2 linked regions of the Caenorhabditis elegans genome follow. The protein of the gene in region 2 interacts with the protein of the main gene of each other region in a pairwise test. Each region holds a gene or a part of one and is shown on either strand. Other genes may lie near its edges.

Region 1 (16,990 bases), on a different chromosome or scaffold from region 2:
CAATGATTTTTATGAATCATTGGATATTTTTAGAAAAGCCTTTAAAAATTAAAAAAAAACAATTAATTCTCGAGTTGTGACGTTTTCGTCGCCTTTGTACTTTTTGTTCCACCTATTGTTCTTCTCCCATCCAACTTTAAAAAAAAGGTTTTAGAGTACATTCTTCTCAAGAGTACTTCTATATTCACTGTGAGCCCCTGATTTTACTTTCAACAAATTCAGAACTTTCATAAACATTTCTCATTATTTTTCTTTAATCTTGCATAATTGCTTAAATTTTTAGTACGCCTCAAAACTTTGTTTTTTGTTACTATATTTATCCGTTTGTGTTTAGTTGTTTGTTGTTCAAACTGTTCCTGTTAGTTTTATTTTATAAAATCTCTCAGACTTGATGCTAAATTCCGGTTTTTCAAAAAATAATATGATAATAACAAAAATTCGGAATTCCAAAACCCAAAAGTTCAAACTTACAAAATATCAAGATTCCAAAAAAATATTTTCCATCCGCTTTTCTTAATTCTAGAATAGAATACTAAAAGAATCATTTGAAAACATTTCAAGGCGTCTCTGTTTCTCTTTTTGTCCAAATGTCCATATACTTTATTTCCCATCTTTATATCAAAAATCTTTTACTACCCAAAAGTCGATTTTCTGTTGTCCAGCCCACTTTTCAGTCTTCAAACCTCATCTTTTACTGAATGTTCAATTTTTGTGAAATAAATGTACTTATTCAAGACCACCATTGTCCATCTGTGTGATTTAATGTCCGGTCGTTCTGGATTCCCATTTTGGCTTCATTTTGTTTTTGAGAACAAAAATTAAAGCATCGTTTTGAAGAAAAAAAACCTATAGGTCTCCCAGCTAAGTGAGGCGCGGACTTCACGATCGGGTTCCCTGCCGCACTATATATTCGGATACATGCACTGTGATTGACGCTGTGAGGCCGGCGCGGGCGCCGCTGTGGCGACCTCATAGGGGACCTGGTCCCTAAAAAATTAATTTATTGATTTAGAATTTTGAATTTAAACCTGACAATACAATCGAAAAACAATCCCTACTTTATAATGAGATGCAAATTTTGTGGAGCTAAGGTTCAATTTCTTATACTTAAAACAAAACAGTTCCAAAAAATCTGTATTCCAAAATAATTAACATTTAGTGATTATAATCAATATAGAAAATAAGCAGAGAATCACCAGAAAATATGGCCAACTAAGTGACAGAACACAACTGAAAGATAGATTTTTGAAGAAAAAAGTAACACAATTATTTTTGAGAGAAAAAGAAACAATTTTAGGTTTTTTATTATTTATTATCCAGTGAAAATGTCGTGGTCGGCTTGATAGCGTTGCACTTCGTTGAAAATTAGCTCTTTCCATTCAATAAGTGTCTTATCGGCAAAATCAATTTCCTGATCGTATCGATTTTCTGATGCGGGGGCGTTTACCTCATCGTCCTGTAAGATTTGAGATGCATGATTTGATTGTTTTTGTTTAGTGCTAAAATTGTTGTACCTTAAACCACAACTTAACATATGGATGATTCAGTGCATCTTCAACTGAATACCTTTCTTCAGGATTGATTTTCAACATATTGAACAGGAGATCACGAGCCACGTGTGCTGAAAATATGATTTATTTTTCAAAATCCTGTATAGCCTGACTCACGTGTCAAATGGACCCTTGGATTTTCAGTCTCCGGCAGAAAATTGGTATCAGGAACGATTTCACTGAATGCTCGTGCCTGATGACGTGGCAACGATCGAACATACATAGCAGCTGACTGACCCAATTGACTAATGAAATGATCATCTGGTGTTCCCAAAACACTATAAATTTTAGTCCATTGATCAATTCGATCTTTTCCAGGGAAAAGTACGGTATGGTTGATCATTTCAGCAAATATACATCCGACTGACCAAATATCTACTGCAATTATGAATTGAGAGTGTTGTTTGGAAGCGGCCGACACGTTTGGGGTTTTACGCGCACTTTACATGCGGATACGTACGGCGTGAGGCTGTTTGAGGCGGCTCACCGGAGCGCAGATGGAAGTCCAGCCCAAAATTACAAAAATTTTTTTTTTTTTCGAACAAACCTTTTTCCGAATAGGGAAGACCTAATATAACTTCGGGGGCTCTGTAGTATCTTGTCACCACATAATCTGACATTCTCATCGATGTGTCCACATTCTTCTTCCGGGCCAATCCAAAGTCTAAAACTTTTAATACACATCGATCGTTGACGACAATATTCGATGGTTTTAAGTCCTGAAACTTTGAATTTTTCAGAATGTTGTCTATAGTGGTAGATACGTACACGATGAATGACTCCCGAATTGTGAAGATGCTTGATTGCGCACAAACTCTGGTAGACGAAGAATGATAATGTTTTATGGTCCAATCTAATAATTCAGAAAATTTTTTTAGAATCTAATTATGTGTTTATATTCAATATTCAATCATTGAATCATTGAACAATCATGAATAGGAGCTCAAATGTGCAAGTGTTCTAAACTTTTTTAAAAATTCTGATTTTTGGTAGTTAACTAAAATCTTGACCAAAAATTTTCAAAACACGCTGGAATATTTTTTTTATTTTTTTACGCGTGTTCTGGTAGCTAACTGTGCGTGTTTTGATGATGGTTTCGGCACATTTCCAAGTGGGTACTCAAGGTTGGATAAAAATGTATTTCCGACCTTGGGAAACGCGAAAGACGGCAAAATTGAAAGTCTAGCTTTTGCCCTTGTTTCTTTCTTTTTTTAAAAGTTTTTTTTGTTGAAAAGTGTCAGCAATAAACTTATTATTATTGTTGAATATGTTTATTAAACGTGAAATTGAGACAAAAAAGGTTGATATTTTGGAGTCGTTCTGAGTTTATTAGAGCAAAAATGAATCCGCCACTCCTTCTTTAAGATATCGTGCTTTTCCTATTGTTTTATTTTTATTCTTTTGTTCTCAAAATCAATAACAGAAAAATAATATTTTACGTCTATTAGTCTCTAACAAGTCCATCATATACAGTTTAAATTACGTCTAGTATACTAGATATTACTATAAAAATTGGTATTACTGAAAAAAAATCATAAAAATCAGCCACCATGTCTCTTACCTTAATCGATGTATAACCTCGTGCAAATTGTGTGTCATTAATTCCATAACTAGATATACTTCTCGGAACGTTGAAAGTGAAGTGTCCGGTGTAAACGCGTTTAGTAGACGGATTATCTGAAATTTGGAGCATTTTTTCTAGATTCCAACTGAATCTTACATTTGGGTGTTTGATAGTCGTTAGCAGTATAAACTCTCGATATGCTCGCTTTGCGCTCATTGTCATCACAAATGGTTGTTGCATCTTCTTGATTGCCACACGTTGCGTTGTTACTAGGTCATCGGCCATTCTAAATGTAATCAATAAAAATTATGGCTGTTCACTTAACTTAGAAATTCTGTTTGAAGTCATTTGCGCGATAATTTAATTTCAGTCACTTTCATTCTTCTAGAAGATCTTCTTGATTATTGATTTTTTCAAGCTTTTTCAATCTTAGAGGTGGAGCAGCGGGCAATGACGAATAACAATGATCTCGAGACCTCTACCTGTTTTAAAAGTTTTTTGATAGGGCGGTCCGTTTTTTTTCGGGAAGTCATCATTGTGTCAGTGTTTGAAATTACGCAAAACCGAAGAAAAGTTAAAGTGTAAAAATATACAATTGAAAGGCAGTGAGACATTCAAAGATGGAGTACGACCAGAGAAAGGATTCTCTGAAACCAGCCATATGTTTCTAAAATGACTAAAATTCATAGTTCTTTCAAAAAATTTATTTTATCTTTTGGTATTTGAACATTATTGGGGCTATAATTTGCAGTAAAGTGTGAAATGTTTGAAAAAGTAAAAATTATTCGAAAATTTGGCAATCTATCAAATCTTTGATTAACATCTTTGAAGTGTTAATATTTGTTTGTCTATTGAAATTTTTTGTTTACTGCGTTAAAAAATTCGCCCTATTATTTTTCCTTCAATAAAATATTAATGTAATTAGTAAAAACTCACACGACAGTTCCTTGGGCGCCGGCATTCAGAAAACTAAGGTTTACATAACGAGTTGGAATAGTGAAAGTGCTGTCCGCGCCGGCTATCGGGTCCTGAAAATGAATTTGAATGGAGGTAAAGTATCTAGTAACAAACCCTAATTGTAACTTGATGAAATCTAGACGCATCATACTCGTTATGTACCGGCAGATCCACTTCCATCTTATTGTGCCTAAAAAGTTATTAGTTTCAGGGAGAAATACTTAAAATTCAAAAATTAAATATAAACGTTAGTCATTAAATTTCAGCTTTTCTTAAATTTTTAAAAGTATAATTTCAATTTCCAAATAAACGTTTGAAAAAATCTATAAAAATTTCATAATTCTTATCACTTGCAAAAATGTTTCTGATTTTCCTTTCCAACCGGAACTGATAAAAATGCCTTAAAATTGTTGAGTTTCATCAAAACTGAGTCATTTCAACCCACGTAGAAATCAATAAATCTTAAAAACGGAGATTCTAACAGTTTGGAAAATTATTTTCTTTCCAAATATTGACTTTCCATTTCTGGAGTGAAAAAAAATGAGGGAGGGGATATATGTACATATTGTTAGTGAAATACAGTTTTCATTTTTTGAAGTGCAAACTAAACCTGACAATGTTTAAAAAATAGACTAAAAATAGAAAGATATGTAGTTTAATAAATAATCTTTGCAGCTAATCTTTAAATGTTTAATCATAACTTTGGATTTGTAATAAAGAAGTCATTTTTTAACATTTAATGAAATTTCAGCGTTTTTGTTTGGGTTTTTATGTTTTTTAATCGACTCATAAACTCATATTTCATATTTGCATGACGCAAAAAATGTTCACACTTCAAAAATTTGACTTCAGTTGTGAATGATCTTACACTTTTTGCGCTTGGTTTTGAAAGGATGTTCGTATTTAGGAAACAAAAGTCAACACTAATTTCAATGGAAAATTTAAATATTTTAGGTATCAAGTTGACTGGAATGTAACATCCAATAGTGTGTTTCTTTTTTTTAAACCTTTATTATAGAAAAAATACGATCGTACAAAAATAAACAACGACGCAATGACACTCCACCGTTTCTAAACCCCGCCCAAGATTTCATTTGCACTGAAATGTGTCGGCCGCAGTGCAAATGAAATCGTGGGCGGGTCTCAGAAACAGCGGAGTGTCGTTGCGCCGTTGTTTATTTTTGGGCGATCGTATTTTTTCTATAATACTCTAATTACTTTTTTAGTGGGATCACCACCAGGCAGTGTACCTGACTCCCAGATCCGCAGTGCATAGCGCTTGAAGAACGGATCGTCCTTTAATCCTTTAATCCTTTTCTCACGAACTCTACAATAAATACACGGGTTACTCGAATGGTTTATTCTAGCAATAGTTCGAGTTCGGGGTAATTTTGAGGTATTTGCTGTTAATTATTAGTGAAATACATAATACTGCATCGAGATAATTGAAGTCTATTATTCTCAACAAGTAAAATTCAAACTAAAATTGTATTAAAAAAGCAGGGGAAATTTTTTATTTTTACTTAGATTCGAAAACTTGAAGAAAAAAGGCAGTATACCCAGCCTGCCAATTTTTACTTTTACACTTTAAAGACACTTTAGATTTTGTTTTTTTTAAATCATAAATAACCTTTTTAAAAAGTTATAATTAAAAATTAAATAGTACAGGAATGATCTATATACATATATATATATATAAGTTGACAATGCGAAAGAGAGAAATAGTGTAGGTATTAAAAGTTACGTCACTGAGTGAATGTTTGTGTGCGGAAGAGAAGCGATAGGCTGAAGCCAAATAGGAGATGCAGAGAAATAGAGATTTCATCCTTCAGAGAGAGACACACCTAGGATTGAAAATGTGTAGAGAAGTAGAGAATCAGACAGAAAAGAGACACCACTCTGTTTTGGAGAATAGAGTTGCCGTAGAACAAATCGACCGCCTATAATAAAAGCTTTGAAAGTAAATTCTATAAGAAATAAGTTTAATATGTACGTTTTAAGTTTTAAATATCTTTTTCTCAATTATTAACATTTATGACAACTCAAAGCGCTACCCAATTAACTTGGGCCATGAAATCTCGTAGGTGCCTAATCTCCCAAAGTCGTGGGTCCACATTCTGTGTGGTCTTTCCTGTGGGGTTTTTTGGTTGTTCTTTACAATTGTTAAATAATACTTGATTTTGTCTGTTTGTTTCTCTAATTCTTTTCAATCTCTGCATTATTCCTTAGATTTCCCATTTGTTAGTCATCGGAAGTGATAACTCGATGCTAAAATGAAACACAGAGATAGTGAGTTGGATAATTTTAAATTATAAGGTGAAGTAGTGGTTTTTTTGCCATAAATGACAGAATACAGTCCCAATTTACCAAATATAACTGTTAAAAAATCAAAAAATAATAATAAATTTTTTATGATTTTTTCAAAAAGGCCGATTTAAATTTGAATTCTCGCACAAATTAATGGCGTCATTCTCGACATTTTGTGTTTTACGGCCAAACTAATTGGTTTTTCTTTATTCTTACAATTAGTTTTATAATTTGAAACATAATTTTTCAATTTTTCAAACATTTTTCAAACTTGATAATTGCGAAGAAACTTACCGAAACTCTGAAATTGGCTTAATTATTCAAAATTAATCATACATTTTCTTTTAGTCTGAAAAATTGACAGACTGTATTTCAAATTATAAAACAAAGGAAAAATGAAGAAAAACCTATTAATATAGGCTGAAAACGCAAAAGTTTCGAAAATGACGTCACTCATTTGCGCGGGAGTTCAAATTTAATTCAGTCCTTTTTTTTAAATTTTTGTAAAATTAAGAAAAAAATCATTAAAAAATTAGAAAAATTTCATACATTTTCTACATTTTTTAACAGTTATATTTAGTATATTGGGTCTCTATTCTGTCATTTATGGCAAAAAACTTACAGACGCTACTCCACCTTTAAATTTGGAACTTCTATGTATATTCTTTGAACACTTACCCAATAACCACAATCATCTCGTTTTCTTCCGAGAATTGTGAAATATTTTCGTAACAAAAATAATAGAATACTGTTTTTATGAAATTTACTTCTAGAATCCAATTTTTGGATGAAGGAGACAATTTTGTAAAGATGCACACAAATCGAATTAGTGTACTGTACAAAAGATGTTCTATATTACTTTTTTCACTGATCAAACAATAATAAATTTCATTGGAAAAATAGTTTTGAATTTGAATTTTTGTCTATCCTAACTACCTTTTTGAACAATTCTTCAACGCAAAAAAGTTTGTATCTATTTAAAAAATAAAAACTTCTTCTCAAGAAAATTATACATAGAAATAAAAAAATAGTTCCTTGAAAGAGAGATGAAAGTACAATGTGGTAAACAGCAGTTATTCGTGTTTTTTTTCTGAGAATGGACGCGTGTGCTGAAATATCAGAGAACATTAGGAAAAGTGGCCAAATTTTATCATTTTCCTGAAAACATCAAAAATAATTTAAACTTCTGGAATACCACAAAGAAAACGAGAAAAAATTGGGTAAGAATGTAAATTCATTGTCGAAAAACGTGATTTTTCAATGGCAGGGTTCTCTGTTACACGTTTGAACTTTCGAGCCAATCAGCGTCTTCAAACTCCACACAATCCGTCCGATTGGTCTTGCATTTCTTCTTTTGGAGGAAATTCAAACAGGCAGCTTTGCCGAAGTGAACATGTCCCTTTTTTTTAAAGTAAAACGTTCAATTCAGGGGTGTGCGGCAAACGGCGAACGGCAAATGTCGTTTGCCGAACGAAAATTAAGGTTCGGCGAACGGCGAATGCCGTTCGCCGAAAAAATTTTCGGTTAAAAGATCGGCGAATGCCGAAAAATTTTCGTCATTTTTCGGCATTTGTGAAAAATGTTTTTTTAAAGTTAATCGAATATATATTCAAGTTTTTCACATTCATCCGTTGAAACATTAATGTACAAACATTGTAGTCATACCCTTAAAAATTGCTTTCTGCAAACAATCAGGGGACATCTCTGTGTCTCTTGTATCCGAACACTCCCAAGTCACCTGTATTTCTAACACTTCCCAAAAATCAACATATTTGAGTTAGTAGCCATATTCTTTTTGTCGACACATCGTCACCCCACCATAAAACCCTCGAAGATGTTGTCTATGGCTGTCCACGTGTACAATTGTTTTGAATCATTCTCTCCTCTGGGATCCTTTTTTGGTTATCTCAACAGTCTGGTTGGTTAAATATGAAATTGATCTTTGCTTGAAAATTTAAACCAAGACACTCCTTATCAAACTTTGGAATTGAACTATTTAGATTTAGAAAATGCAAGAACAAACAACAAAACATCAAAAATTTTAAAAATGCCGAAAAGTGCCGAAAAAACTGGGTTTTTCGGCAAACGGCGAATGCCGATCGCCGAAAAAAATTATAAGTCTGCGAACGGCGAATGCCGTTCGCCGAAAAATGTTAGAGGTTCGGCAAACGGCAAAAGCCGTTTGCCGAAAAAAAAAATTAAGGTTCGCCGAAAAATCCGGATGCCGCACAGCCCTGACCTTCTTGACTTTTTAAGCTTTGTTTTTTGTCCTTTCTGAATTTCTGACTTTTGTGGGTATACCCAGAAATGAAGCATGTTCTAATAAGACCAGTCAGTCAACAAAGACTAAGTATATAACTATATAGTTTTAACAACCGGGTATTATAACTATATAACTATACCAGCCGTGGACCGCACCTCGGCTCCCGGCTTCTCTGGCTGAAAACTATTTTTTTCTGAAACTACCGTAAACTTACAGTACTCTTATCGTACCACTACGGTACCCCGATTATATCCCTACATTAAACCCAATTCACTATCAAAGACTTCATAGACTAAAAACTATGGACACACGGAATAAGTTTTAAATACATATAGAAAATAATAATACTTAGTTTCTGTTGATTGACTGGTTTTTTAGAACATACTCCATTTTCTATTTCTGCCGCTCAGCTACCCATTATTTTGCGAGCAAATTTGTTCTATTCAATTACTTTTTCAAGTGCTCCAAAAGCTGAGGCCTCGATCTCCCATGAGATACGTAAACACCGCAGCGGAAACTTGCAGGAATTAATATCATCACGGCCCGGCAAAGGGTACATCAGTGTAAATGCCCTCTACCGGACACAAAGCATAACCTCCTGGTTCAAACAGAAGGTATGGAAAAAATTCACCTACGAAAATTATATAACTTTTTTTTTGGTCATTTCGTCTTCCAAATTTTAAAAAACTAAGGTGACGTTTTTGAGAAAAATGCATAAACGCAGCCAGTGGTACGGTAGACAAATTGCGTACAGGTACCACTTCTCGGGCCGTGATCAAATTCAAACTGACACTATCACTGATATTACGTAGTTTTTCGAAGTCCTGCAAAAAAAACTAGTGGCGTCATGCTATCAAAGCACATGTTGCAACGACTTTAAGATGATAAATTAAAAAATTTGGTTGATATGTTCCTTTAATTTTTTATATCCTCTAAGAATTTTTGTACAAAAGTCGAGTTTCAGAATTTTAGTATGGTGCTTCTAACACTTCGAGAGATGACAACTTGGTTTGACATTACATTGTTCGAATTATGGGTTCATTTTGCAGCAATTATCGTATCTTCGGTCATGTTGGTATGTTGAAAAAAAGCTTACGAAAGTAAACCATTTTGAATATTATTTTTCAGTTATAAATAAGTTCATCTAAAACAGTTATAATTTCAGTGTCTAAAACTGCACGAAACAGTATCAATCTCATATATGTGGGTGGCATCTCCTTTGTTCGTTGGACTTGCATTTTCTTATTTTTTCGTATTCATCATTTATCTTCGATCATGTGTCGAATTTAAGGATTATAGAGGTCCTACTGTTAGGTAAGTTTTGAACCTGTTTTTAATTTAAAATTTTCATTTGTGTTTGATGAAATATATAAACAACTGTTGGCAAACCTGGAGTCGCGGTTTTGCAATTTTTGCACCAAAGAGAACTTGTCGTTAAATGTAGAAACGTGTACCTTTATTAAATATTTAGTACTGAAATTTCAAAATTCCTCTGCTGCTGAATTTTGATCGATTTTCATAAGAAATCAATGGAAATTTTTCAAAAATTGAAGTTTGAAATTACAGAACTCACTTAAAGGCGCACAATTTTTTCGCATTTATGGTTTCGAGATCAGGTACCGTATGCCTGGAGCAAAAATCAAAATTTTGGAGTTCGAGTTAAATGCCTGAAATAACCTTCTTTTTACAACTCTAACGCAGAAAAACTGTCTCTGTTTTGCATTTTTCTGAAACTTTTCTGGTACCTAAAGACGTTTAGATTAGTTTAAATAGTTCTCACAGCAATAAATTTTTTAAATATTGGCTTAATTCAAGATTCTTGTGGTCTTTCCAAAAATGGTTTTACAACTCTGAAACTCTTATTAAAATGAAGCGGCCGCCGGAAAGATCGTGGCGAGACCAGTCCGTAGGAATACATAACTGCGAAATTATAGCCCGTTGAACGCAAATTACGTGTTCCTACTTGCGACAGACCAAATGCGAATCATCTGTGAAAACAGAAAATTCAAAATTGAACATGCAATATATATTTTTTTTTCAGAGTAATTCTCAACATATTCCGTCTCACATGCATCACGCTCTTCATATACTTCATCGTTGAAAAAATCAGTGGAGAGTTGGAGAAATCAGAAGTTGCAAATCGGAATACGTATGGGATGGTTTTTTTGCCAATGTGGCTTCTCCTGGCTTCGTGGGGATTTCAAATGTGTCGGGCAACAAATAACTAGTTTAACTGCTCATTCTTCTCATTTCCTATCATTTTCTGTACATTATTGTTGTTTTTTCCTATTTTCAACGGGTTTCCAAAAGAAATACAAATAAATACCATCTGAAACGTCATCCGTGTATAACCTAAATAAAACATGTGACAAATTTCATATAAACGCGATTTAAAGGAGAAAAAAGATTGGAGCGAAAAAAAATTGAGATCAAAAATGAAAATGAAATACTCGAATACTACAAAACCTGCAAAAATAATTAAATTCGTATACAAGAAAATCTAGAAACTAGATCGATTTGAAGACGATGCCAACGAATTTTTGGGCGGCGCATTCAACACGCGGTCCACGTCATCGTCGATATGAAGTGGTGATGATGACGTCACATGTTCTGACGTGGCATGTGGTGATGATGTGGATGACGATGGAAACTCGTGGAGACTTGGAGCATTTGAGAGGTTTTCTGAATTTTCACAATTATGTTTTTTAAGTGCTATTCAATAATTTAAACTTTGGGAGCAATTGAATTGACATTTTAATCAAACAGAATTTCAAGCTTTTTCTAATGCAATTTCCATATTGCAATTCCCTCGACGTACCTCTTTCAGAATCACTTCCACCATCTCGTTCCCATACAGCATCTAAATCGACTTCAGTGTGTAACGTAGAACTAACTGGAGGCATTCTTTCCTGAACGAAAAAATTAATTATTAAAACTCCAAATCGATTTGGTTTTTTGCTCGAATTTTATTAAAATTTGAAAACAAAATAAAAGTTCGGTTTTGTATTATACGAAAATCGAAAAGCTTAGTTATTCAGAATTTTTTTCTCTCGCGGATTTTTAAAATCCACACCACGATGAATCTGAAATTTATACCTACATTAATTTTTTTTTGAAAGAAATTTTCGATTATCCCGGAAAACATTGCAAATTTCTGATTTCAAAAGCAGAGTTTTCCGCTTTTTCGGAGAATTTTTGAATTTCGATTCATCGAATCGTGGCGTTGATTTTTAAAAACAAAATTGATATTTTTGAAGTGTTTTTTCTCAACATTCTCACCACAACTTCCAACATTTCAAATTCAGTTCCATAATCTTCCTCTTCACTTTCAACATCCACGTCATCATCCTCTATTATCGGTCTTGCAGTTTGATATGATTTTATTTCACTGAAAACGCCAGAAACTAGATTTTTTTGTTCAAAATTCCATCCAAAGTCCATTACCCAATTTTAAAAATTCCCCGCTCAGCAGCAATTTTCGCGAAATCTTCCGTCTGTTTATTCTCCAAATACTCTCGAATTGCCATTTTTTCCTGGAATGCCGCCTCGTCGTTCTGAAAATTTTGAGTTTTTGTGTGTATAAAACATGGAAACAGAAAATTATTTATTCGGGGCGAATCAAATACAACTATACCAGTTTCAATGAAAAATGTGGGCTTGGAAGAAACATAATTTTTAAACTAAAAATGTAAAATTTGACATGGAATTTTACTTTTGAAATAAAATTTGGAAATTCGTTGGCTAAGACACAAAATTGATAGGGAAAATGTTTACATCAATAAGTATACTTTTGCCAAAATTCGCCTAGCAAATCAAACACTTTGAATCTGTAAAACTAGCTGAAGTTTTTTCATCGAAAATTTCATAAATATCACAAGAATGTAGATGTTTCACCTTATCATCAGTCAAATCATCACATGAATCACAATCCAAATACTCTTCATTTATGAACTCTCGTCGTGTCACAGAGGACAGTTTCAGTGGTAAACGACGCATCCAAAGTTGAAAATCACGACGAGAGATATCGACTGATGTAAGATCCACGTTTGCAGCGTCTTCTAACTGAAAAATTTAATAACTTTTTAATTGAAATTTGTGATGAACTATTTCCTAATTTTCCTAACAAGAAGGAAAGGTTTCCATTTTATCGTCAGACTTCATTTCGATCTGGAATTGTTTCAGTGCCTGTTTTCACTACTTTGGAGGCCTGTAGAATTGCTCCAAATGCGTTTTTTTCAAACTTTAATGTTTTTTCAGAACGTTTAGAAGTAGGTGAACACTCTGGGAGATTTTTCAAAAATTTGTAATTTTTTGAAAAAAATCTGAAAGTTTCTTCACTCCACTTGATCCAAAAATGTTCAGATTTTCACAACAAAAAAAAGTCCAAAAATCTCCCAGAGTGTTCACCTACTTATAACCGTTCTGAAAAACATTGAACTTTGCAAAAAAACATTTAGAGCAATTCAACAGGTCTCCAAATTAGTGAAAAATGCACTGAAACAATTTCATATCGAAATTTTAAGGGTTGAGGGAAGAGCTTTTTTCAAAACATGGAATCACTTGTTGACACCCGAGACCGAATGGGAGAGTCAACCCATCGGGTGAAAACGACGTAGTCTGTTTCGAACCTCTCGCTCTTCATCCTTTCGCGCAGCACTCCGTTGATTCTCCTTATACGAGCATTTCTGATTAATTCTCAACTCAATTTTCAACTTCATCATTTGAATCGCAATCGCTGCAATATTCGTTGCATCATCCAATCCACTATGTTTATTTCCAACAAACGACAGATCCAGACGTTCTAACATGTTTTCAATTCCGGATTTCTGAAGAGAATTGAGGTTTTAATTAAAATTTGAACCTTAAAAACTTACTCCATTTCCCTTGATAAGTCCATTGAATTTCTCTTTGAATGTCTTTTTGATGTTGATAAAACTTCGGAACATATGGGGCATTCGAATATTCGATAAAAGGCATTGAAATTGCATGAATTTCCACATATCGTGAGGTCTGAATAGTTCGTTATGCACAACTTTGAAGTTTTAGTGAACAAAAAATCGTCTTCGATTCCTTACCCATCAGTAACAAATGCGAATCTGGAATTTTTCTGTCCGAGATTGAATTTTCGCATCCATGTGTACAGCCGTTGAAGAGCCTCTCGGAAATATGGAGCAGCATCGACTGTTTCTTGGGCAATTTCTACAACAGGGTTTACATTTTAAAAATGACATTAGTGTCTTACTGGTAAACTGCATACAAAATTCGCTGAGCTTCGGATTTCTGACAGGTCGGACATAGGTTCGAAACTCGCTGATCTGGAAATTAAATATGCTTATTTTGACGATGGATATTATAAAGTTATATATTTTTCGTTTTTTATTTATATTCCTAAAATAAATAAACAAAACAAAACAAAAAAAGCTTTCAGTTTAGTCAGTTTTTATAACTTGATAATACACCAAAGAACTTCCATCTGCCTTAAATTGAAAAATGGGAGAAGGATTTTTCTATTTTTTTCCAATATTTTCTTCACAAGCGAAACAAATTTTATAGCTAAATAAGAAACCCAAAAAAGACGAAAAATGTTGTATTTGAAACGTTTTTTGTTGAATACATTTTTATATTCCAGATTTCGATAGGATGACGAAACGTTTGTCACCTTTTCCCGGAAAAAATGATTTTCTTGCGGGAAAACACGAAAAAAAAAAATAAAATTCGAGCCGAAACCCCAGAGGAAAAATCCAAAATCAAGAATTTCAACTGAGAACTGTTCAATCCTTGTCCGCGGGGAGTACACGACATGCGTAATTCGACATATTCCATTTTCAAAGATGAAAAAATCCTACAATTTTCATTTCCCGAACGTCGATCAAAACTGCCGGTAATTCGATGATTTCGTGTGGGTAATCGTATATAATCTCGACGCACGTACACTCGAAATCAATTGCCTGAAATAATTAATAACTAAAGTATTTCTTTTCCAGAAATTCTGAAAATCATACAATTAAATAGTCAAAAAAGCGTGCAGTTTTATCGGCATTCGGCTCCATTTTTCGATTCAATAATGCATTTTCCTTTCGATAATATTGTGCAACCCGTTTTCGAAGAGTTTTCTTGTTTCCGCTGAAATTAGAGTTATAATTTAAGTTAATTTCGAAATTTTAGTAAGAAAATTACATTATTTCTTTTACGGATGACTATATTTAACGCAAAATGATTCAAAAAATGCTGTTTCTTTTTAACAAAACTATCAAAAATGAAGCAAAGCTATATCTTAAATGTACGAAATTGGGTTCTGTTAGGAAAATAAGAAGTTTGAATGAATTTAGCATAATTTTACCCTGTGGACACTTTAATCTTCATCAACGCTTGTTTTAGCTGTTCAGCAGTCATTGTATCCATTTGCCTTATCACTTTTTTCACGTATTCTGGTTCCACCATTGATTTTAAAGGCTCAACACGTTCGGAGGGTAAAAGTTGCTGTTCACGTGGAATATCGATTGATTTTTCAGATTCGTCGGTTCTGGTTTCAGCCGATTCCACTTCAACTGCTGTTTTTTCTGGTTCGTCATTCTGTTTTGCGTTACTTGCATCGAATTCTTGGCTGATTTTCAGCAAATCTCGTAGACTTTCCAGATATTTTTCGTCTTCTGGAGACGGCTCATCTGCGCTCATTTTTTAACTGAAATTTTAGAAAAACAATGTAAATTCGAATGCGCCTAGATTCTATGTATCGGAGAATATAATTTTTCTTTGGAATTATCACCAATTTCAATGTTACAAATCTAAATAATTAAACAAAAAATTGGTAAGTACAATTAATTTATGGGAGAATTGTGTTAAAGCCCATAGGATTAGTGATGACCCGCAATGTGAATTACAATTTCTGAGTAAGAAAACAGATGGAAGGGGATACATTCATAGGGAATTGCTATTTTTCACCCGGCAAAATATACATATATACGTGGAAAATCGGGAAGTTGAGAGCTATAATATGAATATACAAAATAATCGAACAATAGTTTGTTAAAAAACAAAACACTATACAGAAAGTGAATGATACTTTGAAGAGAAAACTTAAAACATTGAAATTATCTGAAAATTGGAGGGTCAGTAAGAAGAAAATCTTCTAAAAGTTTTGTTTTAGGTTTACAAATAAATAGCTTGATCAAAATTCGAATCCGAGAAGCTGTTTTCGGAAAAATGAGCAATTCTTGGGATTTTATCCTCTGGATGTAGCTCCGGGCACGTTTCACGACGCTCGATTTGCTGAAAAATTAACATTTTAATCACATAATAAAAAATAAAAAAGATTACTCACCACACGATGATTAGCTTCCAAATGTAGAAGCACATGATTGCGGGTCTTCTGAGTGTCTTTGCCAGTTTCTTTCACCATTTGTTCTCGAGTTTTCAGGGCTTTTGGATTTTTAGAAGAACCATTCGATTCTTCTACAACGTGCCCGAATCGCTCAAACGCTTCACCAAGAGTGTGTTCAAGATCGACTTCCTCTGCATTCGCTTGAACTCGTTGAAAATCCTCCGACTGCTCCAGTAACGCAATCTGTGCTTTAAAAACTTCGGCCTGTCCGGTTACATAATCAGCAAAGGAATTGTCCGATGGTACTTTGAATTGCTTCATAAACTCTTGTAATACACCTTGTCCATTAAGCAACTGGTCAACGAAGGCTTTTGCCTCTTGTTCAGCTATTTTCACTTCCTGAAAGTTAAATATTGAAAATACATTCAACATTTCCCGATAGTTTTTGATCTTACTAGGAGTTCTTATTTTTGGTGATCAGAGAGTTATGGGTCGAATGTTATATTTTCTGGAAGCTAATAAAACGAGCATATCGAATTCAAAATAAGAAATTTGCCCAAAGTGATGTTAAGGCAATATTTTCGACGTTGAAAGCGTATTTAAGCCAAAAAAGTCGTTGTTTTTGAAGCATGGACTTCAACGATACAAGAAAATAGTCACCTAACAGAATGTTAAGAACAATACGAAAATCATTATTTTAATAACGATAGCTAAATACTCAAAATATTTCTCTAAAAATCTGAATGAAAATTAATATAACTTACCACTGGCAACGAATGAATACGCAGGTTTTCAGCGAGGAAACATTATAATATTGATAATATAGAAATATAATTAGAAACTATAGCAATAGGAATAATTATTAGAAAAATTACACCTAGGAAGGTGAGTAGATTGAGGGGTCCCGCATATAATATAAAAAGTTCACTTTCAATTCCAAAATTTAAAATTTCAAACCAAATTCACCGAATCAGTGTGATAATCCTGACGCAGCATGTTACCGGCCGTATTTGGATGGTATGATTCAT
Region 2 (15,378 bases):
ACTAATAATTTTTTAAACAGTTATATTTCGGTTATACGGTTCCATCTTTAAAAAGTATGCTACTAATAAATATATTCAAAACCTTACCATCGTTTTTTCCACGAAAGAGCACCAGAAAATAATGGATTACTACTCTGCTTGAAAAGCCATCCTTCTCGTTCAGCATGTAATAGAATATCGTTCACAGTTCCTTTTCCACTTGTCGATACTTCATCTGGGATCTTGAATTGTGTAACACTAACTGATTCATATACTTCTGTGAGCTGTTCGATTGTAATTGCACCTTTTTCGAGAAGTTGCTGAAATTTTCCATTTAATTTCATTAAAAATGTTTTTTCTTCAATTTTCATCCTATACCAACCTCATTCATTTCAATATATTTTTCCAGTGATGGTTTATCTTTAACGTTTGGATTATGTAATAATGTATTAACCATAATACATGAATATGCTACTGTATGTGCTTGATCTGCATTTCCATATGATGGATTTTGATTCGCGTAAACTTCTGCAAATTTCTCCAAAATTCGATTAATTTTCTGCGATTCGCCAGGTAGCCGGAAGGAAAATAGATATTGACGAAGAGCTGGAACAATCGGAACATCATGCAATTTATGTTCTTTTGTGAATCTGTCAAGGGTTTCCAACGCAAATGGACGGTTATCACCCAGTATTTCGCCGATCGCACTTTTAGAAAGTCCTTCGCCCTGAAAAATTGCAGTTGAAAACATAATAAATAGATTTCTATTAAATAATTGTTTTAAAAAATAAGAAAACTCACAGCTTTCATCCAGAGCGCCAATGCTTGAGGATCCTTTGCAACTACATTTCTTGATGCCAACCAATCCAACGCTTTCCATGGGTCTTGATTGAACTTTTTTCGGCCATTCACCACTATTTTGTGATATTCTTTTGATTTTGGATGGGTGTAATATACTTGATCGAGTTCTTCGTCAACTTCTCGTACCTAATATGTTGACATATTTCGTAATAGACAGAATTTAAAATAGCACACATGGAGAACGTCATTTTGCTTTTTTAAATTTATTGTTTTTTTTAGAAATCAAAGATAGCTTATCAAAGTTTCAGTTATTAGAAATATTCTTCGATATTTATAACAAAAATCTAAATTTTTAGAATGCAAAAACAAAACCGTAAAAGGCATCACAGAGAATTGATTAATATAATTTTGAAAAATATTATTTAAAATAGAAAAGTGAAGATTTCCGTTCTAAAGATTTTTGTTTGGCTAAAACATTCATTAAAACTAATTAGTTTTCACACCTCATTTTTTAGCGCCTCAATTTCATCGACAAGTTGTGCCTTCCTCTTGCGTACTTTGGGAAGAGTCATCTTCTCCGTCTCCGATAGTCCATTTCGTTCTGAAATTATCAAAAGCGTTGAAATTTGCTTTAATACTCAAGTGTACAAACCTGAATACCGCGATGACATTTATCCCTTGTTTTTCCGCTGCATACACAGACTTCCTTTTTCAATGCTGAAAAATGAATTATTTTAAACGTTTTAAACTTTAAAACAATATCAACTCAAGAGAGAAAATGACAAATCAGGAAAAATACAAGCAAAGAAAAACTAATTGAAGAAAAAGAAAAACTCTTAAATGTCGTACAATGTGGTGTCTACTGTGCAACATCCCTCATAGTGTTTGCACACAATTGTCTACAGTACTCTATAACATAATTCTAGGACCTAGACTTTTTTCCTTTCTTGTGCGAGATGTCGTTTTCTGCCGGAGAAAGTAAGTTAAAGTTATACATATGAATATAAAATTGAAGACTTTCAACTTCAGGTTCTGCCGCAACGGGAGACCCTCAAGATTTCAATAAATTCTTTGGTGAAATTAACAGTCCATCCGAAGCTGCGAAAACAATCAAAGCAATACCTAAACCATCAGTCGCTCTCCCAGAATCTTCAGAATGTGCATCATATTGTGCTAGTTGGGTTAACGACCAGAGTTTTGAGATTTTACCGTATGTCACTTTGAAATATTGGTCCTCATCAGGGCTGTGCGGCAACCGGCAACCAAGTTGCCGAATTTTCGGCAACCAAAAGTTGCCGGTTGCCGAAATTTTTAGGGTTCGGAAACTTCGGCAATTGCCGGTTGCCGAAAATTTTTGGGTTCGGCAACTTCGGCAATTGCCGGTTGCTGCACAGCCCTAATCCTCATGAAATGAATAAGCTTTCCAGAACCGATGAAGAAAATAGGCAAACGGAATTCAGTTCCTCTCCACTTTCGGATAGTGTTCATAGTTGCCTAGGATTTAATCGAAAAAAGGAAAGAAAACGGAGGACGTCTGGAGATATTGAACAAACTGATAAGAGGAAGAGAACAGAAGGTTTCAATTTCACTTTAATTAGTTTTAAAAAAATTAAAGACATATTTCAGAACGACCTTCTGATAAAATAACATTTGCTTCTAATGTCTTCGACAACCTGGCTCGTGTTACTGCTGAGAGAGATAACCCAGAAAAACTATCGAAGTATAAGAATATTCCTGGAGTAGGGACAAGAGAGAATATTGATGAAGGAATAAGTGATATAAATCAGCCATCATCAAAAAGTAGTGGTCAGTTATAGACTGTCTGATTTAAAATCACTCTTATTTTCAGGTGTTAAATCGAAATACGTCGAAGTGATGTCATTGTTTCAGAAAAGTATACAAAAGTTCTCCATTATGAATCTTGATTAGTTAGTTTTATTTTGCGAAAATTCGATTTTTTAAAATCCTTTGCAAACAAATAATATTTTCAGCATGTACACATTTGACTGGAACCACTACTCGAAAAAGAACATTCAATATGTTGTGTTCACAAAGGTCTGCCAATCACACGCCCCAGGTCATTTTGTCGAGATGCTAAAGGAAGATTGTGTAATATTTCAATTTCGATCTCTTTTTGGCAATTATCATTCTCTTTATTCAGAGTTGCCGAGACTGTGGAAGTGCTGATTTGGCAGTTAAAGTTCGCCTTACAGTACCACTTGATTTGTCTGATATCCCGATACCATGCAGTGAAGATATACAGATCCACGTGTCATTTCTGGCTGACGATCTCTTGGAAAGACATATATCATCAAATGTGAATAGAAGTTCGAATAGAGATGATCTGGACTTTTCGAGAAGAACGTGTGAAAAGATGTACGATTTGTATCAAAAAATGATGAGAGGACAATCAAGTCGCATGTACACAGAATGGTTCGATAAGTGCAAAATTTTTGTGAAGGTTCGGAAAAAAAGTGTTCAGACTGAATTAATATAAATATGATTTGCAGAATTTTCTCTTCTCCAAGTCGCTTCATCTTTATCACGGAAATGTAATACGTCGAAAGATTGAAGAGAGTCAAACGTTGAATAAACGACGATGCTTCATCTTTGCACAAATTTTTGATCTCGAATAGTTTTTGTTTAAATTTTTTTATTTCTTTGGATCCTCTTGAATCTCAAAATCGACTGTGCCATTTTTTGTTGTTTTTTAATAAATTGTTTTGAAATATTTTATAGAATTAGATCATCATAAATACCAGCTTTGTTTAAATTTAGAAAAAAAAAATTTCAAGATTATAAAATGAAAGAAGTTATTCGCCGTCTTTCTTTTCCTGAATGATACGATATGACCCATTAATGCAGGTTAGCAGTCCCAGCGCAACTTTTCTTTGCAAAAACGCGGAAACATGATCAAGAGTGGGTCCTGCAGAAGTTGGAGAACCGAACATACGGTAGACACGATGCATCCGTTCCGCTTTCACTTCTCCGTTAGGTGCATGATTGGCCTGAAAATTGATTTTTTTATTCTTATATATTTTAAGTTTTACTTACAATGAAATTTCTAGTATATCCCCAATATTGTTCTAAAGCATCAACCATATCAGAATTCTCTTCCGGTTCCACATCTTCATCGTCTTCAAGGTCCGGTGTGCCTGGTCGAACGATGGAAATTCCACTTGGATTCCGGGTCAATGTCCACGTGTCGCTACTGATAATGGGATTCTGAGAATGAAATTATATGATAACTTAATAATTTTCTATTTTACCATGCAAATAAATCCTTGTTTAACCAGCCATTCCAATCGTTTTCTTGTCACAACCACTGACATTCCCATTTTCTCGACTACTTCAGCAGTTGTCCATGTTTCTTTTTCGAGGAACAAGAAGAGGAGAAGAGCGTACATATTTGGAATTGTTCGATCTACTTCAACTCCATCGATATTGATAGAAACCTCTACACATCTTTAAAAAGTTAAAATTCACATGATAATTCAACAAATGAAACTTACCCAACACTTCTTAACCATTCTAATTTTCTGTCGCGCTTCACGTCCAGATAAGTTTCTTGGTAAACGTCCATCGCAGCTTGCAATGGTTGAGGCATTAACTGAAATAATTTTTCATATTGTAACATTGTTGCAATATTCTCACCGCTTCTGTTTTTTCAGTTTCCAACTTTGGCCAATAATGACTTGAGATGATACATGCAGAAATTGGAATAATCGGAACATCATAATTTCCAGCGCTTCTTTCACTCATGTCTTCAAACTTTTTATCAATATCGAGACTATGAATAACGTCCCGAAGCATCACTTCACAATGTTGTAGCTCACTGTATTGGAATCTCAGTTTCAGCAAGTCCAGGTATCGCTTCTCGAATTCAGGCTAAAAAAGATATAGACTTCGTTGAAAACGAAAAGAGTACTTACATCTTTGTTGTCCGAACTCGAAAGTCGTTCAGCAAGAAGATTTCTATATTCTTTGACAAAAAGTTCTTTGGATCCATATACAGAGACAAGCATATTGAAGACGTCAACACCTTGATGCCCGGGTGCTCCATCACCTGAAAATAAGAATAACATTTTAATAACTTTTACTGAATTTGAGAGAATTGTCATTGAACTTCCGTGAGTTTTTATCTGTAATCACTAACCAACAGTAGCATCAGTTGGGTTAGGCATCCAGTTTTCCCATCCAAGCGTCTCCATATTTTCTGGCAAAAAATCATCGTTGACACCTTTCAGTTCTTCCTCGTCCATCATTGCCGATCGAACAGTTTTAGACTGTAAGCTCTTGAAAAGTGTTAGAAAACGTTTTTTTAGTACACGCTTACCATATCTTTTTCCAGTTCATTTTTCTTATTAGAAGTAATGTAACTGATAATTTGTTGTACAGTGTCAGGTCGCCTTCTGAAAAAAAAATTAAATATAATTAAACAATCAGGAAATAGCTTACTTCAAATATTCTCTGATAACTCCACAAACTTTATGCATAACCACGCAACTATTGTCCATTTCACGAAGAGATTCTACGCACGCCGCATAAGCTTTCAAAATGTCTTTTGTATCAACCGCTGAAATTTTAAATATTTAAGTTTTAAATAATTCCCCTCACCAACTTACATGCAACAAGAAGTTTTGTGTTAACTTGATCTATCAAGTAATTTGTGAAATCGACTCTCCCATGATTATTAGTTCTCAAAAGGCAATATTTCATTGTGATGAGACTGCGAAATTTTACTGGAAAATCTACGGCGATCATTTCATATGCCTACAAAAAATATTTTTTAGGTTCCAAATTTTTTTAAAAACTCACGTTTTTGGAAAGCATTTGGAAGACATCTTTGTAAATAGTGTCACTAATTAAATGGAATGCGTCTTGCATTGTTACTTGATCTGACCAAATCCTCAGACTCTCCATAATTTCTTGAAACATTGAACATCTCAGCTCATTGTCAAAAGCCGCTTTCTCGTGCATCACCAATGTTGCAGCAAGCTCGCGAATATACACTGAAAGTGCTGCGTTCATGTGACGATTTGCATTGAGAATTCCAGTTTTTCTGAAAATGTTATATATAATTTAGGAAGTCAGGCTTTACCCACAATTCATTGACAAAAGGATTAAAATCTTGAACATATTGCCCGCATATTTCTTTTTTTTCTGGTGTCCACAGCTCTTGGTTTAAATCGATTCCATGATCGATTTTTCGATGAGGAAGGTACATGGCAACTGAAAAATGTTATTGGAAACTGGGGCTGAATGAAAAAAAAATACGTCTGTAATTAGTGAAGTGCGACATAAAATAAGGTCTGAGAACTTTGATAACAACTTTCTGCATGGCCAGTGGGAAGATGAGCTCTGCAGCATCGCGAATATCCGGTTGACCAACGCCTTTTTCCAATGCAAACTGAAATTATTTTCCATTAGCTTGTTACACCTCTATTTTCTGACCGTTTTCCATAAGGAGAAGATTTTTCAGAGCATTTAATTGAGAATAAGGCTAATTTGTTCTTGATTGGATTTAAAAATTTTAAAACTCACCATCAGGCATTCTTGCTGTACTCGTTGCAGAACTGTCGTCATATCATAAACTTTTTCAATATTTTTTGCGTATTTTGCGTGATATATCAGAGCATCCCAGACTTCTTTTTTCTTTGAGACGCAAAATTGTCTGAAAACTGTCTTTACGGAACTCATTTTCAAAAATTCCATACCTGTACTTCATCGCAGCCTCTTTCGAAGTAGTCATTCTGTCAAAAATGGACATTTTCGAAATGGTTAAAATAATTTCAGCAAGGATACGAGAAGAGAACGATGACAAATGTGTGAGAAACTGTATATATTAAAGGATCATGCTTAAAACGAAGGTTGGGGTCTCGGAAACTACATTTCCACAAAAACCGCGAATAAATGTTCCTTTAAAAATTATACGAAAAAATGTTTGTTTCTTTTTTTTCACACGATTTTTCAGAGTATTTTCTTTCAAATTTCTGTCGATTCCACTTTTCCTCCGTCTTTTGAATGTTCCCATGAAAGAGACATAGACATTGGTTCAGTAGAGCGCATACTACGGGGCAGTCAGCGGCAATTATTTTTTATTGTAATTTTTGAACATTATCAATTTTCCCTGTTTTCAGACCAATAATGGTCAGGGTAAGAGCTGATTTACAATGTTTTAACCCCAGGGACTACCAGGTAATTTTTAAGTAGCAAAATAAATTAAAAATAATCGATTTTCAGGTGGAACTTTTGGATAAAGCGACAAAAAAGAACACAATCGTCCAACTAGGCACTGGTTCAGGAAAAACTTTCATTGCAGTTCTACTGCTGAAAGAATATGGAGTTCAATTGTTTGCACCATTGGATCAGGGTGGAAAACGAGCGTTTTTTGTTGTAGAGAAAGGTAATTTCGTCTATTAAAAATAAGCCAGCTGGCCAGTAAAGTGAATAATTGACAAAAAAAAACAAGATTTATTCTAAAACATCATTTTTTCCAGTAAACCTCGTTGAACAACAAGCTATCCACATCGAAGTTCACACAAGTTTCAAAGTTGGTCAGGTCCACGGACAGACAAGTAGTGGTTTATGGGACAGCAAAGAACAATGTGATCAGTTCATGAAGAGGCACCATGTGAGTGAGAATACGAAGCTGAACTATCGAGCATATATATTTCAGGTTGTTGTGATCACAGCTCAATGCCTTCTTGATTTGATTCGACATGCGTACTTGAAAATTGAAGACATGTGTGTTCTGATCTTTGACGAATGTCATCATGCTCTCGGTTCTCAACATCCATACAGAAGCATCATGGTCGATTATAAGTTATTGAAAAAGGGTAAGTATTGAGGAATTAATGGTGAAACTTCGAATTCGCTTCAAAATACGGAAATATTTTTTCAGACAAACCCGTCCCACGTGTATTAGGACTCACAGCCAGTCTTATCAAAGCGAAAGTTGCGCCGGAAAAACTAATGGAACAGTTAAAAAAGTTGGAATCTGCGATGGACAGTGTTATAGAGACAGCTAGTGATTTAGTCTCGGTATGATTTAAAAAAGACAAACAAAGACTTGTTTCCAATAAAACTAATTTAGCTCTCGAAATACGGTGCGAAACCCTATGAAGTTGTGATCATCTGCAAAGACTTTGAAATTGGGTGCCTGGGTATTCCGAATTTCGACACAGTTATAGAAATATTTGATGAAACTGTAGCCTTTGTGAACACCACAACAGAATTTCATCCAGATCTAGATTTGGATCCTCGTAGACCGATTAAAGATTCTCTCAAGACGACGCGAGCTGTTTTTCGTCAACTGGGACCTTGGGCGGCATGGCGAACGGCTCAAGTTTGGGAGAAAGAGTTGGGAAAAATTATAAAATCTCAAGTGCTACCGGATAAGACGTTGCGGTTTTTGAATATGGCAAAAACATCTATGATTACGATTAAAAGATTGTTGGAACCGGAGGTGCGTACCTAACAAGAGACGTTGGAAAATGGTACCTCGAAGTATCGTTATGGTATAGCAATTTTTCGACAAAAAAGTGTTATCATTCGAAAAAGTTCGTAACTCCCTACTCACCAAGAGAGCTACAAATCTTGAGCAAGATTTCAAATTGTAAGATTGTAGCTCAATTCATGGCTTTTTGAGAATTATGGGCTGAAGCTTGAATGCTATATGTTTTTTAAAAACAATTTACGAATATTTGGAAACACTTTTTTTAAGTTGAAAGTTTTTTCAAAAGGGGTGAAACTGCTCGGACGCAGCTGAATTTTTGGAATGATCCTCAATAACACTTTTAATCTAAAATTACTATTCTATATTGAACTCCAAGTTAGCATTTTCCAACTTCCAGTGTAAGCAATCAACTATTAATTACACCAATTTTTTCCAATTTAGATGAAGAAAATCAAAAGTATTGAAGCTCTCCGTCCATATGTTCCTCAACGTGTCATACGTCTTTTCGAAATCCTAGAAACTTTCAACCCCGAATTTCAAAAAGAACGAATGAAGTTAGAAAAAGCAGAACATTTATCAGCCATTATTTTTGTCGATCAACGGTACATTGCATATTCGTTACTTGTAGGTTTATATGAATGTTACGGTAATATATTGTAAATTTTCAGCTTATGATGCGTCATATTAAATCATGGGAGCCTAAGTTCAAGTTTGTGAACCCGGATTACGTCGTTGGAGCCAGCGGACGAAATTTGGCGAGTTCGGATAGTCAAGGATTACATAAACGACAAACTGAAGTAAATTTATGTTTAAATTATCATTGTCTAAATATAATTTTTAGGTTCTTCGCCGTTTCCATCGAAATGAAATCAATTGTCTTATCGCTACATCAGTGCTTGAAGAAGGTGTAGATGTTAAACAATGTAATCTTGTGATTAAATTTGATCGACCACTTGACATGAGATCATACGTTCAGTCAAAGGGAAGAGCTCGGCGAGCTGGATCAAGATATGTTATCACTGTTGAGGAGAAAGATACTGCGGCGTGTGATAGTGATTTGAAAGATTTCCAGCAAATAGAAAAAGTAATATTGGAATCTTCAGTTCAATTGTTTAAAAAATGATATTAAGATTCTTCTTAGCCGCCATCGTACAGTCAACAATCCTATTGAAGATGATTCGGATAGATTTGAAGAATTTGATGTTGATTCTCAAATGGAACCATATGTTGTTGAAAAAACTGGTGCAACATTGAAAATGTCAACTGCTATCGCATTAATTAATAGGTATATTAATAATTTCACTTTAGAAGTTTAATCCAACAGCTAAATACAAACAATTGGTAATCTTCCAGATATTGTTCGAAGCTTCCTTCCGATATCTTCACTCGTCTTGTTCCACACAATCAAATCATTCCAATTGAAGAGAATGGAGTGACCAAATACTGTGCAGAGCTTCTTCTTCCAATTAACTCACCGATCAAACATGCAATTGTGCTCAAAAATCCAATGCCAAATAAGAAGACTGCACAGATGGCAGTTGCACTTGAAGCATGTCGACAATTACATTTAGAAGGAGAACTCGATGATAATTTACTTCCAAAAGGAAGAGAGTCGATTGCCAAATTATTAGAACATATTGATGAGGAGCCGGATGAGTATGCACCTGGAATTGCTGCTAAAGTTGGATCATCAAAACGAAAGCAATTATATGACAAAAAGGTATTTTCGTATATTCGATTTTCTAAAAGTCGCTCAATTCAATGAAAATAATTTAATTATCGGAAAAGTAATAGTGATAATTAAGTAAAAATAATTAAAAATTTACAGATTGCTCGTGCTCTCAATGAATCCTTCGTGGAAGCAGATAAGGAATGTTTCATCTATGCATTCGAATTGGAACGTTTCCGGGAAGCCGAACTTACGTTGAACCCGAAAAGACGAAAGTTTGAAGATCCATTTAATTATGAATATTGCTTCGGATTTCTGAGCGCAAAAGAGATACCAAAGGTACATTTTTCTGTTTGATAGCTAATAATATTTATTTGTAGATCCCACCATTCCCAGTGTTTCTTCGACAAGGAAATATGAAAGTCCGATTGATTGTCGCACCGAAAAAGGTTTTCACCTGAAAATGAGCTTATCTATTTTTACAATTCCTAAATTTCAGACTACCGTAACCGCTGCTCAGCTTCAAGAGATTCAACTGTTCCATAATTATTTGTTCACACAAGTTCTTCAAATGTGTAAAACGGGAAATTTGGAATTCGATGGAACATCAAATGCACCATTGAACACGTTGATTGTTCCACTTAACAAGCGTATGTTCTACGTCATATTCAGATATTTCTTCAAAATTAAAGCATGTCTACTAAATTATAAGGATAATTTTTTCAAAAAAAAAAATTCTACAGTATAAAAATGAACTCAAGTTATAGGAAAAGATGATATGTCCTACACAATCAACATGAAATATGTATCGGAAGTAGTTGCAAACATGGAAAATATGCCACGTATTCCAAAAGATGAAGTTCGTCGTCAATACAAATTCAACGCTGAAGATTATAAGGATGCGATCGTAATGCCGTGGTATCGAAATCTGGAACAGCCTGTATTCTACTATGTTGCTGAAATTCTACCAGAATGGAGGCCGTCGTCGAAATTCCCGGATACGCACTTCGAAACGTTTAACGAGTATTTCATCAAGAAATATAAATTAGAGATTTATGATCAGAATCAAAGTTTATTGGATGTAGATTTCACATCTACGTAAGTTATTTTGTCAATCTTGTCCAAAAAGTCATAAATATTCATATTTAAATTTTTCAGTCGTCTTAACCTTCTTCAACCTCGAATTCAAAATCAACCACGTCGTTCAAGAACTGTGAGTAACTCCTCAACGTCAAATATTCCTCAAGCATCTGCTTCTGATTCAAAAGAGTCGAATACTTCCGTTCCACACTCTTCACAACGTCAGATCCTTGTACCGGAATTGATGGACATTCATCCTATCTCTGCGACTCTTTGGAATGTTATAGCAGCCCTGCCAAGTATTTTCTATCGTGTTAATCAGTTATTGTTGACTGATGAACTTCGAGAAACAATTTTGGTGAAAGCTTTTGGAAAAGAGAAAACTAAACTGGATGATAATGTTGAATGGAATTCTCTGGCATATGCAACCGAATATGAAGAGAAACAAACGATAATCGTTAAGAAAATTCAACAATTGAGAGATTTAAATCAAAAATCGATTGAAGATCAAGAAAGAGAGACGAGAGAAAATGATAAGATTGACGATGGTGAGGAGTTATTCAATATTGGAGTTTGGGATCCAGAAGAGGCAGTCAGAATTGGTGTAGAAATTAGTTCAAGAGATGATAGAATGGACGGTGAAGATCAGGATACTGTAGGACTAACACAAGGTAGAACATATTTGGTAAAACAATTTAATAATCATCTGAATTTCAGGACTTCATGATGGGAATATATCCGATGAAGACGATGAACTGCCGTTTGTAATGCATGATTACACAGCCAGGCTCACTTCTAACAGAAATGGAATTGGTGCATGGTCAGGATCTGAGTCTATTGTTCCAAGCGGATGGGGAGATTGGGATGGACCTGAACCAGATAATAGTCCCATGCCTTTCGTAAGTTTCAATTAGAAAACATTTACCATCTACGAAGAGTCTTTTCCAGCAAATTCTCGGTGGACCAGGTGGTTTGAATGTGCAGGCACTGATGGCTGATGTCGGAAGAGTTTTTGATCCATCTACTGCTTCGTCTTCCCTTTCTCAAACTGTACAAGAATCGACAGTTTCACCTCCAAAACAATTGACAAAAGAAGAAGAACAGTTTAAGAAACTTCAAAATGACTTGCTGAAACAAGCAAAAGAGCGACTTGAAGCTCTAGAAATGTCAGAAGATATGGAGAAACCGCGAAGATTGGAGGATACTGTGAATTTAGAAGATTATGGAGATGATCAAGAAAATCAAGAGGATGAGGTAAATAATAAATAATTTAAAAAATGAAAAAAAAAAATTTCAGAATACACCAACAAATTTCCCGAAAACCATAGATGAAGAAATTGAAGAGTTGTCAATTGGAGCCCGGAAAAAACAAGAAATAGACGACAATGCAGCTAAAACTGATGTACTCGAAAGGGAAAACTGTGAAGTTTTGCCAGTTGCTATAAATGAAAAGTCTCGTTCATTCTCTTTTGAAAAAGAAAGTAAAGCAATAAATGGACGACTTATAAGACAACGATCAGAGGAATACGTGTCACATATTGATTCAGATATTGGATTAGGAGTATCTCCATGTCTTTTGTTAACTGCTCTTACTACTTCCAATGCTGCAGATGGTAAGTTTTAACAAAAAATTGTTTTTGGATCGAAAAACAAAATAAAATTGAAATTGTAAAAAAACACGAAAAGTGTCAAAAAACAAAAATGTAGATTTTGGATTAATTTCGAAACCTTCAAATTTTTAGCTCAAAACAAAAAAATATTTGCAAAATAGGAAAGTATTTGAAATAAAAATGTGAAAATGAAGAAAAAATATTATCTATGAAAAAAAAATTATTAAAAACTTTCGTCAAAATTCCAAAAAAAAAATCGAGAAAATTTCTAGTTCTTCAAATGATCTGCGAAGTAAAATATATTATATTTAACCAGCCGTGGACCGCACCTCCGGCGCGGCCCCCGACTTCTGGGGCTGAAAACTAATTTTTCTGAAACTACCGTAACCCTACAGTATTCCTACCGTACCACTCTTGAGCCACTACAGCACCCCAACTATATCCCTACACTAACTCCAACTCACTATCCCCACAGAAGCCAAAACTTCACAGACTACATAGACTTCATAGACTACAAACTATGGACACACAGAATAAGCGCTTTATATATAGTAAATGATATAAATTTCAGGAATGTCATTAGAGAGATTCGAAACAATCGGAGACTCTTTCTTGAAGTTTGCTACTACCGATTATCTCTATCACACGTTGCTTGATCAACATGAAGGAAAATTGTCGTTTGCACGTAGTAAAGAAGTTTCAAATTGCAATTTGTATCGACTGGGCAAGAAATTGGGAATACCTCAATTGATTGTTGCAAATAAATTCGATGCTCACGATTCTTGGCTGCCACCATGGTGAGTTTTTTTTTTCAAATTGTGATTCTGTAGTCATATATCTTATTTTGTTCCAGCTATATTCCAACTTGCGACTTCAAAGCTCCTAACACTGATGATGCAGAAGAGAAAGATAATGAAATTGAACGAATTTTGGATGGACAAGTGATTGAAGAGAAACCTGAAAATAAAACTGGATGGGACATTGGTGGTGATGTCTCGAAAAGCACTACCGATGGAATAGAGACTATTACATTCCCAAAGGTAGTTAAAGTTTAATCTATAACGAATTATTAAAATCGTGATATTTCCAGCAAGCCCGTGTTGGTAATGATGATATCTCTCCACTTCCTTACAACTTGCTCACCCAACAGCATATTTCGGATAAATCAATCGCTGACGCAGTCGAAGCTTTGATCGGAGTACATTTGCTGACGTTGGGACCTAATCCAACGCTGAAGGTTTTTGTTTCGTTTTTGACGGATAAATTCTGATATTTTCAATTTTTAGGTGATGAATTGGATGGGACTGAAAGTAATTCAAAAAGATCAGAAGAGTGACGTACCTTCACCTCTTCTACGATTCATTGACACTCCGACCAATCCGAATGCTTCTCTAAATTTCTTGAACAATTTGTGGCAGCAATTCCAGTTTACACAATTGGAAGAGAAAATTGGGTTTGTTTTTATTTTTTTAATTGAGCTAGAAGTTCCAAAAATGCAATTCCTTCTACAGATATCGCTTCAAGGAACGTGCTTATCTTGTTCAAGCTTTCACACATGCTTCGTACATCAATAATCGTGTCACAGGATGCTATCAAAGATTAGAATTCCTCGGAGACGCTGTTCTCGACTATATGATCACCAGATATTTGTTTGAAGATTCTCGTCAATACAGTCCGGGTGTTCTCACTGATTTACGATCAGCTCTCGTCAATAATACAATTTTCGCGTCGTTAGCAGTGAAATTCGAGTTTCAAAAGGTTCCAAGTTTTCATTTTAACTTTAGTTAACATTTCTCATAACTTCAGCACTTCATCGCTATGTGCCCAGGGCTTTATCACATGATTGAGAAATTTGTTAAGCTGTGCTCGGAGCGCAATTTCGATACTAATTTCAATGCTGAGGTAGGGAAAGCTCTCACAAAAATTGTTGAAAATTGCAAAGGGAATTCGTTCATATTAAGTGAACAATTTATTAAAAACTGTAAAACTAATTTAAATTTTTAGATGTATATGGTGACTACTGAGGAAGAAATAGATGAAGGCCAAGAAGAGGATATTGAAGTTCCAAAAGCGATGGGTGACATATTTGAATCAGTAGCTGGCGCCATTTATCTCGACTCTGGACGTAATTTGGATACCACTTGGCAAGTGATTTTCCACATGATGCGCGGGACTATTGAATTGTGCTGTGCGAACCCACCAAGATCACCGATTCGAGAGCTTATGGAGTTCGAGCAGAGCAAAGTTCGATTCAGTAAAATGGAACGAATTCTCGAGAGTGGAAAAGTTCGAGTTACAGTCGAGGTTGTTAATAACATGAGATTCACTGGAATGGGAAGGAACTATCGAATCGCGAAAGCTACTGCTGCGAAAAGAGCTTTGAAGTGAGTTTTGATGGAAAATGCTCAAAGCTCCATAAATTAACACGTTTTGCAGATACCTCCATCAAATTGAGCAGCAAAGAAGACAAAGCCCATCATTAACAACTGTTTAAATTACCTCTTCACTTTCTGTGATATGCTAAGTATTAAGCTATGTGTTTCTAGGATCTATTGATCTGATTTTCCTAATTCTCCAATTTTTACTCGTTTCTATTGAATTTCATATGTATTCTGAAAATATACAGTTTTACTTGTTATCTTTTTTGTTTTTATTTTCGAACCAAAATTGGAACATCTTACTAAAAAATGGAAACTTTTCCTTTTTTTATCACTCGGCCGCCATTTATGAATTGCACACAAGAGGGGGTATACCTTAACATTATTTAAAGATTATTATTA

The links.
Region 1: the proteins of dcr-1 (region 2) and eri-1 interact in binary tests that used the Caenorhabditis elegans proteins (3 or more experiments, as listed by UniProt).

What each region holds. Positions count from the first base shown.
Region 1 is NC_003282.8:404,636-421,625, forward strand, and holds eri-1 (3'-5' exonuclease eri-1), read right to left. Parts: upstream 15,324-16,990; 5' UTR 15,317-15,323; coding exon 14,982-15,316; intron 14,765-14,981; coding exon 14,644-14,764; intron 14,590-14,643; coding exon 14,488-14,589; intron 13,957-14,487; coding exon 13,884-13,956; intron 13,841-13,883; coding exon 13,717-13,840; intron 13,652-13,716; coding exon 13,516-13,651; intron 13,468-13,515; coding exon 13,270-13,467; intron 12,704-13,269; coding exon 12,536-12,703; coding exon of another isoform or gene 12,446-12,535; exon of another isoform or gene 12,233-12,445; intron 12,196-12,232; coding exon 12,086-12,195; intron 12,030-12,085; coding exon 11,921-12,029; intron 11,551-11,920; coding exon 11,460-11,550; intron 11,324-11,459; coding exon 11,142-11,323; 3' UTR 11,000-11,141; downstream 1-10,999. Other genes in the region: kgb-1 (GLH-binding kinase 1), read right to left, coding at 1,313-1,456, 1,515-1,621, 1,668-1,928, 2,098-2,269, 2,319-2,403, 3,112-3,227, 3,271-3,400, 4,051-4,142 and 1 more; T07A9.12 (uncharacterized protein), read left to right, coding at 9,615-9,716, 9,807-9,955, 10,683-10,869; Phosphatidylinositol 3,4,5-trisphosphate 3-phosphatase and dual-specificity protein phosphatase daf-18, read right to left, coding at 15,791-15,910, 15,963-16,361, 16,929-16,990.
Region 2 is NC_003281.10:8,071,824-8,087,201, reverse strand, and holds dcr-1 (Death-promoting deoxyribonuclease), read left to right. Parts: upstream 1-6,920; 5' UTR 6,921-6,927; coding exon 6,928-6,978; intron 6,979-7,023; coding exon 7,024-7,186; intron 7,187-7,280; coding exon 7,281-7,414; intron 7,415-7,459; coding exon 7,460-7,619; intron 7,620-7,684; coding exon 7,685-7,824; intron 7,825-7,876; coding exon 7,877-8,248; intron 8,249-8,680; coding exon 8,681-8,863; intron 8,864-8,907; coding exon 8,908-9,036; intron 9,037-9,080; coding exon 9,081-9,323; intron 9,324-9,369; coding exon 9,370-9,524; intron 9,525-9,592; coding exon 9,593-9,959; intron 9,960-10,067; coding exon 10,068-10,247; intron 10,248-10,288; coding exon 10,289-10,357; intron 10,358-10,407; coding exon 10,408-10,558; intron 10,559-10,675; coding exon 10,676-11,006; intron 11,007-11,066; coding exon 11,067-11,659; intron 11,660-11,705; coding exon 11,706-11,887; intron 11,888-11,936; coding exon 11,937-12,242; intron 12,243-12,285; coding exon 12,286-12,601; intron 12,602-13,169; and 17 more. Other genes in the region: grp-1 (GTP exchange factor for ARFs 1), read right to left, coding at 88-299, 362-706, 781-966, 1,284-1,381, 1,433-1,451; K06H7.7 (uncharacterized protein), read left to right, coding at 1,737-1,758, 1,810-1,990, 2,208-2,356, 2,407-2,586, 2,630-2,708, 2,772-2,889, 2,942-3,241, 3,291-3,416; apc-2 (Anaphase-promoting complex subunit 2), read right to left, coding at 3,594-3,788, 3,835-4,005, 4,050-4,245, 4,293-4,390, 4,435-4,668, 4,713-4,846, 4,937-5,075, 5,117-5,192 and 7 more. UniProt on the Caenorhabditis elegans protein: Component of the ERI/DICER complex which is involved in processing amplified double-stranded RNA (dsRNA) intermediates during small-RNA-mediated gene-silencing or RNA interference (RNAi). Involved in cleaving dsRNA in the RNAi pathway.